Linked DNA regions of Mus musculus. The protein of the gene in region 1 purifies or fractionates together with the protein of each later gene. This does not show direct contact. Links are inferred from orthologs where the notes say so. Each region holds a gene or a part of one and is shown in the gene's direction. Other genes may lie near its edges.

Region 1 (2,754 bases):
AGGCAAGGAGTGCCAGTGCATCCCGCCTGGAGGTCAGGTTAGCTCACTGGCTGACAGGGAGGGGTAGACACAGAAGGCAAGCTCTTAAGGGGCTCTGTGGAGAGCAGGCTGCAGCCAGAGTAGCTAACAATAAATGGTGGGGTAACTCATTACAGAACCCTTGGACCTGGGTGCCTGGCCAGGTTGTGGAGCTGGACAGCTCCTGCCCTGCGCTCCAGGCTAGGGTGCTGAAGGGGGCATGGCCTCAGTTTGTGCCCTCAGATGGGAATACTGCCTGTGTGAAGGTGCTACGGGACATTGAGCCAGGGGATGAAGTGACTTGCTTCTATGGTGAGGGCTTCTTCGGCGAGAAGAATGAGCACTGTGAATGCTATACCTGTGAGAGGTAGGCACGGACCTTGTGGGCAGGGTGTGGCAGCCTGCCCTGGGACGTCAAGGGTTGCTGGGCTGCAGTGCATCCTCAGGATTCACTCTAAAGTGTGTCTGGCCCAGCACATGCCTTTGCCCTTTTCTGTTCCTGCAGGAAAGGCGAGGGAGCTTTCAGACTTCAGCCCAGGGAGCCTGAGCTGCGACCAAAGCCCCTAGACAAGTATGAGCTCCGAGAGACAAAGAGGCGTCTGCAGCAGGGCTTGGTCAGCAGCCAGCAGAGCCTGATGAGCCGGTGGGCCTGCTCCCACCTGTCCCCACTGCGCCCTGACCCATTCTGTGGTGAGCGTGCCTGTTCTCTAGCCTTTGGGTCACTTTTTCTGACCTGTCCAGAGGAAGAGCTGCACAGGTCCTGTTGACAGGCTTTCACTTTTTCTGTCTCCTCCGACCTCTACAGCTGCCTGCCAGCCCTCATGCCTGCTGCCTGCCAGCCCCCACATGGATTACTTGCCCCTTTGGCTCCAGCGGGCGCCTCAACCCCAGCCCATAGTACCTCCCAGGAAGCGCCACCGCCGCCGCCGCCCCAGGATCCGCCAGGCTTCATTGCCTCCTGTCCTCCGCACTGCCTGTGTCCCCCTGCACCGATGGGGAGGCTGTGGTCCCCACTGCCAGCTACGTGCTGAGGCCATGGTGACCCTACACCTGCGCCCCCAGACTCGCTGGACCCCACAACAGGACTGGTACTGGGCCCGGCGCTATGGGCTACCTTCTGTGGGGCGTGTGGAACTTACCCGCCTAGCCCCAGCCCTGCCAGCTGCTCCTGCCCCTGCTGGGAACCCAGGTCCTGTCCCCACTCCTGATTTCATCCCTAAGCAGGCCCTTGCCTTTGCTCCGTTCTGCCCACCTAAGCGCCTCCGGCTAGTGGTCAGTCATGGTTCTATTGATCTGGACATCAATAGTGGTGAGCCATGATGGGCTGCTTACAGGGAGCGGAATGGAGTGCAGAGTCTATCTTGGAGCCCTCCAGAAGGGAAGGAGAGCTGACCCAGGTCTGATCCTGGTAGTGTGTTGTTTGGGACATCCCTAGAGAGCTGATCCTTGTTCTATGATTGCTGACCCCTGAGCCAGCCCCAACCCAGCAGGGAGCCCTGGCCATTTGCTGTACCCATCCCTGCCCCCACCTCAGGACTATAGGAGTCAACCTCCTCCCTCAGCCTCTCCCTCCCAGGGAGCAAAGCCATAAGGGAGGGGGGCACTCCATGGCGACTCTCTAGAAGGCCAGGCCTCAGGGGGTGGAATTGACTTGGGGGTTTGCCTTCCCCTGAGCTGCTCCCACAGTGGGGAGTGAGTTGGCTCTCAGCTCTACAGTTGATGGAGGTAGGGGCGGTCAGATGAGGTGGGTGGTACCCAGGGGCACATCCTTGGCTCTGCCCCACGGGTCTCAGGGAGGCCAGGTGTGACCTCATCTTTTTCACGGTGCTATCCCTGGTGCTACTGGGGTGTCGGGGAGGCTTCCTCTCCTTCCCACATCGGAATGGGGGATGATGGGGGATTGGAAGAACTTGAACTTTTTATTAAAATATTGTAAGTCCTTAGGAGGTTTTTTTTTTTTTTTTGAATGTTTTTATGGGATGTCAGTTGGAGGGTGAGATCTCAGCTTGACTGGGAAGATGAGGTGGTATGCCTGCGAGACTGACAACTATCCTGATATGCCTTAAGAAGGGAGAGGGCAGTGGATTCTGGGGACTGCTGGACTAAGATAAAGCCCTGTAACTGCACAAACGGTGCTTATAGGACATGACCAAATGCATTCTCTGCTCTGGGGAACTGAGGAGATAACCAAGAACTGATGACCGGGTGCAAAGTAACTTGCCTGAGGCCATACAGGGACTTGTCACTTCTCAACCAGATCTAGAGCAGGGCCTGGTGTGGTGGCACCCCTTTAATCCCAATACTTAAAGAGGCAGAAGCAGATAGATCTGTGTGAGTTCAAGGCTAGCCTGATCTACACAGGGAGTTCCAGGCCAGCCAAGGCTACACAGTGGGTGGACTTATTCAGGAGCAGTTTGAGAGGAGGGGATATAAATGGGGCCAAGCAGTTTAGCCCTGCTGAAGGGTGGAGGGAACCTCTTGTAACCCAGTTGTCCTCAACCTCCCTACTGTGTGATAGAAGTAAGACAAACTGGGGGCAGAGTTCAGTGGTAGAGCGGTTACTTAGCAGGTGCCAAGCCCTAAATTTGATCCTTCATACCAGAAAAGGAAAAAGAACCAAGGAAGAAAAGAGCCAGCATGGACGCTGGTGCTGCCTCGGTGGGGCTTTCCCTACCCTGCTTCTCCACCTTAGAGGACCTTGGAGGGTGATAGATAGGAGCCATGGGATCCTATGAG
Region 2 (4,570 bases), on another chromosome or scaffold:
CAGCCACCCGCCCAGGCCTCGGTTGTACTACGTTCTCTCTGCCTGTTCCAGTAAAGCTCGTGGAGCGCCGCCACCCCGCCCCCACCCCGCGCCTCGGTGGCTTCAGAAAGCAATGGCGCCATTTCGTCGAGGGGAAGGCAGAGAGCCTTTAGCGAGGTGCGCAGGACGCTGAAGACCCAAGCTCAAAACGCTAAATCCACCTCGAAACGGTATGAAGACTTCCAAAAGAAAGGAAAATCGCTAAACACGTCTACGCAGTGGTGAAAAAAGAAAACCAAACTAGTAAACCTAAAGCGTTGAAAGCAAAATCGTGGCGAGGAAGGAGACGGGAAAATGGCGGCCGCCAAATCCGGTTCCCGGGAGAGGGGGGAGGGGAAGCTTCGCAGACTCGCTCCGGGAAGCCGGGGGGGCCCCAGAAACGTTCCGCCGCGAACACAACCGAGCCCCTAGGCCCGCGCACATCGAAAGGCCAGCGATGGCCCGCTCACGCGCTACTTTAGCGGTCCAGCCCGGTCGCGGCGGGCACTTCCCATCCCCCACCCCAACTGAGGGAAATGGCGCCGGGCGGCTGAGGGCGGGGAAGGCGGTCGGACAATCAGAGGCCTCCTCCAACGACCCCTCAGAAACTCGCCAAGGCCAACCGCCACTCGAGTGGCCGCATCCCCTCCGCCGGACCACGGAGGCGGGTGGCCGGTTTCCATTGCGGTGCCTACGGCCTCGCCATGCCATTTTTAATAACTCATTGATTTCAAACCCGTTACCTCCATCGCGGACTCAGTCGCTTCAGCCCGATTTCCCGCAGCCGAGCGAGATGAGAAAGACCTCCGCGGACGGACGCGCACGGGACTCGTCCTGGCGCTGTGGGGAGAGCAGGCGATGGCCAAGAAACTGGGCCGCAAAGGAGCTCCTGCACACGGGACCGGCGCCGCTGCTACTGCCGCTGGAGCCGAGACCGCCGCTTTTCTAGAACCTTCCCCCCACTAACGCGTCTCCGCTTACGTCACGCCGTTACGTAAACGCCCTAACCGCCGCCAATGGCGGGAAGGGCCTACACTCTCCTTACGCCAAGTACGTGACACTCCCCCTTTAGGTACAGCGGGACTGCTTTACATCACTTGCGCAACTGTGTTCCGTGAATTGCGGAAGGCTCGCGCTCGGCGTGTTACTACGTCCGGAACTAGGTCCGGCCCCCACCTCCGCGTAGGGAGCGGAGAAACGGTCGCGCAGTTTGAAATAACGCCGTCGGGAGGGGCTTAGGCCGGCGCTGGGGCGTGCGGCCCTCTCCACCCAAGCGTGCTCTCTGCAGCTACGCCTTTGCCAAGCCCGTCCGCACAAATATTCTCGAACCACACAAATATTTCTACACGTCCCAAAGGGGTTCTCACTCGGTCCCTCCCAGAAGGACTTTTAGTCCAAGTACCACCCCGGATGCCACAAGCCTTGGGATCCCGCGCCTAGTGAGAGGTGGTGCTTAAAGAACCCCGCTGTTTATCTCCCCGGCCTTCAAGATCCGGGCAAGGAGGTGGGTGGAGCCCCGCTTTGGCGCGCTCCGAGACGCAGAGAGGCCTCCGCGGTCCTTCCTGCCCGCCTTCCCCCCCCTCCCCCCAGCCAGGAGACCCCCTGGGCGCCACGCCGCGGACGGTGAGCATTGCGCGCGCCGCCCCCCGCAGGACGCGTTCCCGGCGGGCCCCGCGCGGCCAGGGCGTGGGCGGTGCTCCCCCTCCCCCCCGGCGGAGCTGCCCGCGCCCCCTCCCCTCGGATGTGGCTGAACCGAAGCGCGCAGGCGGGAGACTCTGCAGGATCCGCGGCCCTGAGCATCGGAGCGGTGAAGTTCGTGCCTTTGCTTTTTTTCGATCTTGCGTGTGGTGGGGTTTAGGATGCTCCGTGCGTCCGAGCTTGCGGGGAGGCTGCGAGCCCCGTGGGCCGCGGGCTGCGGGAAACCGGCTGGGGCCTCGCTGAGGCGGGCGCCGCGCCGGTGCGTGGGGGAGATGGGACAATTGTGCATGAGGGTGGGAGCCGGATGACAGCTACCGAGACTCCAGACAAAGCGCGGGCCTCCCCTCCCCCAGCCTCGTCGCAGGCCCGCAGGGAGAGAGCGGTTCAGGCTCTGCAGCTGCGAGGCCCGAGGCTCCGGGCTGCGGCGCGCTCCCGGCTACGTGGCCGCCGCCGGATGGGGGAGGCGCGGGCCCGTGGCGCAGTGCCCTTGAGCCCCCGCCGCCGCCTTTGTTTCTCCCCGCGGAGGCGCTGACCACGAGGCCCGCGCTCTCGGGTGGGGGACGGGCTCCCGACCGGGGAATGGAGCTGGGAAGGAGCCCTCCTCGGAGGGGAGCGTGAAGGAGGTCGACTCCTTCTATCCTTATCAGGACAGTACTTGGGAGCTTGAGGCTGGGGATTGCCAGGCGTTGAAGCCCAGACTGGACTATAGAGAGTGATTACCGCACCACCACCCCCGGAAAAAAAAAGCCAGAAAATAGGACTGGGACATCTTAATGTGTTCCTTTTTTTATACCGTGATTGAACAGGGAGGGCCTCTGAAAAAATAAGGATGGAATTATATGAGCTCCTTGGAGTATTCAGAAATCTAAAGAAAAAGATCTTATGGTAATTTGCTAACAAAAGATAGTCATTTCCTTTCATCCAAAATAAACACTAAAATTGTTAAAATTCTATATGGATTGGGAAAGTAACAATCCTCACCATGTAAAGTTGTCTGAGGTACCAGTGTTTTAGTAAGATTATTTTCACTAACATACTGAAATTATTAGTAACATACTAATAACACGGGAACTCAACTGTTTTCCTGCATTTTTACCCGAAATTTACATGTTGAAATCCACACAAAACTTGTAGCTGCCTTTTGTGTGTCATGAAATTTTAACTGTCCTACATTTTTTTTCTTGCAATAGCTCTTCAAGTCTCCGATTAAATTTAAAAAATGGCCTCCAATAAAACTACATTGGTAAGTTTGTGAAAACCTAGAACATAAGAATCTTAACTGAAGGATTTTTTTTTTTCTTTAAAATTACAATTAAGAAACCATGTGGTGGTGGATCTCTGAGTTCGAGACCAGCCTGGTCTGCAGTGTGAATTCCAGAATAGTCAGAGCTACACAGAAAAACCCTCTCTGGGCGTGTGGGTGGGGGAGCTAGAACCTGTGGTGGACATGGTTGTGCCTTCCTTTAATCCCATCATAAGTGGGTGAATTGCTGTTAGAAGCCAGCCTACCTAAGTCCTTGTATTTACCAGCATTCTAAAGAAAAAGGAATTAACACTAAGTAAGGCTTTTCTTAAGGAGGATCACAATACATTTTTTTGAAAAAGCGTTGTACAGTTTTTGCTGGATGCTTTTGAGGTAAAAAATGCATGTTTGTGGGTTATAAAACAGCTCAATCTTCAGAGCCCAAGGAAAAGTGGAAAGAAAAAACAAGTTTCTACCAGAGTGTGCCTTGATTTCCACACAGGAGCTCCATCATATTGTTAATGAGCTGAATGGGGGAAGAGTCGTGGACAGCTCTATAAAAGTCTTGTGGGTTGGCATGATTACCCTGGAAGCTGTGCTGTTCTGGAGACACTGAGCATTCATTAGTGCACAGAGAGTGAGTTAGATAGAGCTCACGTTGCCATGAGCAAGAATTACAAACTGTCTAGGAGTGATCTAAGACTGTTAGATCAATTCTGTTTCTTTTCAGCGATTTCTGACTGTTGCTAAATCCAGTGTTAGTTTTCTTGGGATTTCTAGTAAGTTAGACAAATTTATTTTTGTCAAGTTATATTTAAAATAAATAAAACTGGGTCAGCCAGGCAGTGGTAGCCCACAACTTTAATCCCAGTACTCCAAGACAGAGGCTGGTAGATAGATCTACACAGCGAGTCCACGGACACCCAGGGCTACACAGAGAAACCAAAAACGGAGGGAGGAAAAAAAAATGGGTCTGAAGGTGTATGTTTGTGATCCAGCCTGTGAGAAGCTGAAGCAAGCAGATTGCCTTGAGTTTGAGGCTAGCCTGGATTCCAAAATTCTGGGTAGTCGGGGCTGCATCCAAGACCCTGTCTAGAAAAAGATTCATGTCAAAAGAGTGAAATTTACAGTTGTGGTTTCTACATTAATTAGGACACATTGATCTCAATCATATGGAGGTGTGCATTAACAAAACATGGGTTTTTATCCTTGAATTTCTGACCAAAATGAGCAAGAGGGTATTTCTATCTCATATAGTGCATGACTTCAACTGGTCTGCAAAGTGGACTAGATTCTGTGATCAGAAGCCCTGATGGTCACTCTTAGATGACCCAATACAGTGATAAGCATGAATCATCTGGTAAACTGTGGAGATGCTGTGAGTGTGGGTATGGCCCTGGATGCTGATGGACTGAGTATCCTGGTTCTGAGGTGCTGCTGGTGATTTTTTTTTTCCTGCGTGATCCTTCACTTGGTGATGGTTAGAGGGACTAGGCATTTGATAGGGGGTTATTTTTGTGATTCCTTTAAAAAATTTTTAAGTAGCATCTGTAGTTACACATGGTGGTGCATACCTATAATTCCAGCACTGGGAGAAGCTGAATCAGGAAA

The links.
Region 2: the proteins of Kmt5c (region 1) and Cbx3 purify together in Homo sapiens (affinity purification with western blotting; 3 studies listed by BioGRID and IntAct, with this or other methods). This does not show direct contact. The link is inferred for Mus musculus from reciprocal best matches to the Homo sapiens genes KMT5C and CBX3.

Annotation. Positions count from the first base shown.
Region 1 is NC_000073.6:4,745,554-4,748,307, forward strand, and holds the end of Kmt5c (histone-lysine N-methyltransferase KMT5C), read left to right. Parts: intron 1-248; coding exon 249-385; intron 386-523; coding exon 524-708; intron 709-823; coding exon 824-1,338; 3' UTR 1,339-1,961; downstream 1,962-2,754. UniProt on the Homo sapiens protein: Histone methyltransferase that specifically methylates monomethylated 'Lys-20' (H4K20me1) and dimethylated 'Lys-20' (H4K20me2) of histone H4 to produce respectively dimethylated 'Lys-20' (H4K20me2) and trimethylated 'Lys-20' (H4K20me3) and thus regulates transcription and maintenance of genome integrity.
Region 2 is NC_000072.6:51,468,910-51,473,479, forward strand, and holds the start of Cbx3 (chromobox protein homolog 3), read left to right. Parts: upstream 1-1,706; 5' UTR 1,707-1,830; intron 1,831-2,342; exon of another isoform or gene 2,343-2,601; intron 2,602-2,906; 5' UTR 2,907-2,935; coding exon 2,936-2,959; intron 2,960-4,570. Other genes in the region: Hnrnpa2b1 (heterogeneous nuclear ribonucleoproteins A2/B1), read right to left, coding at 762-767.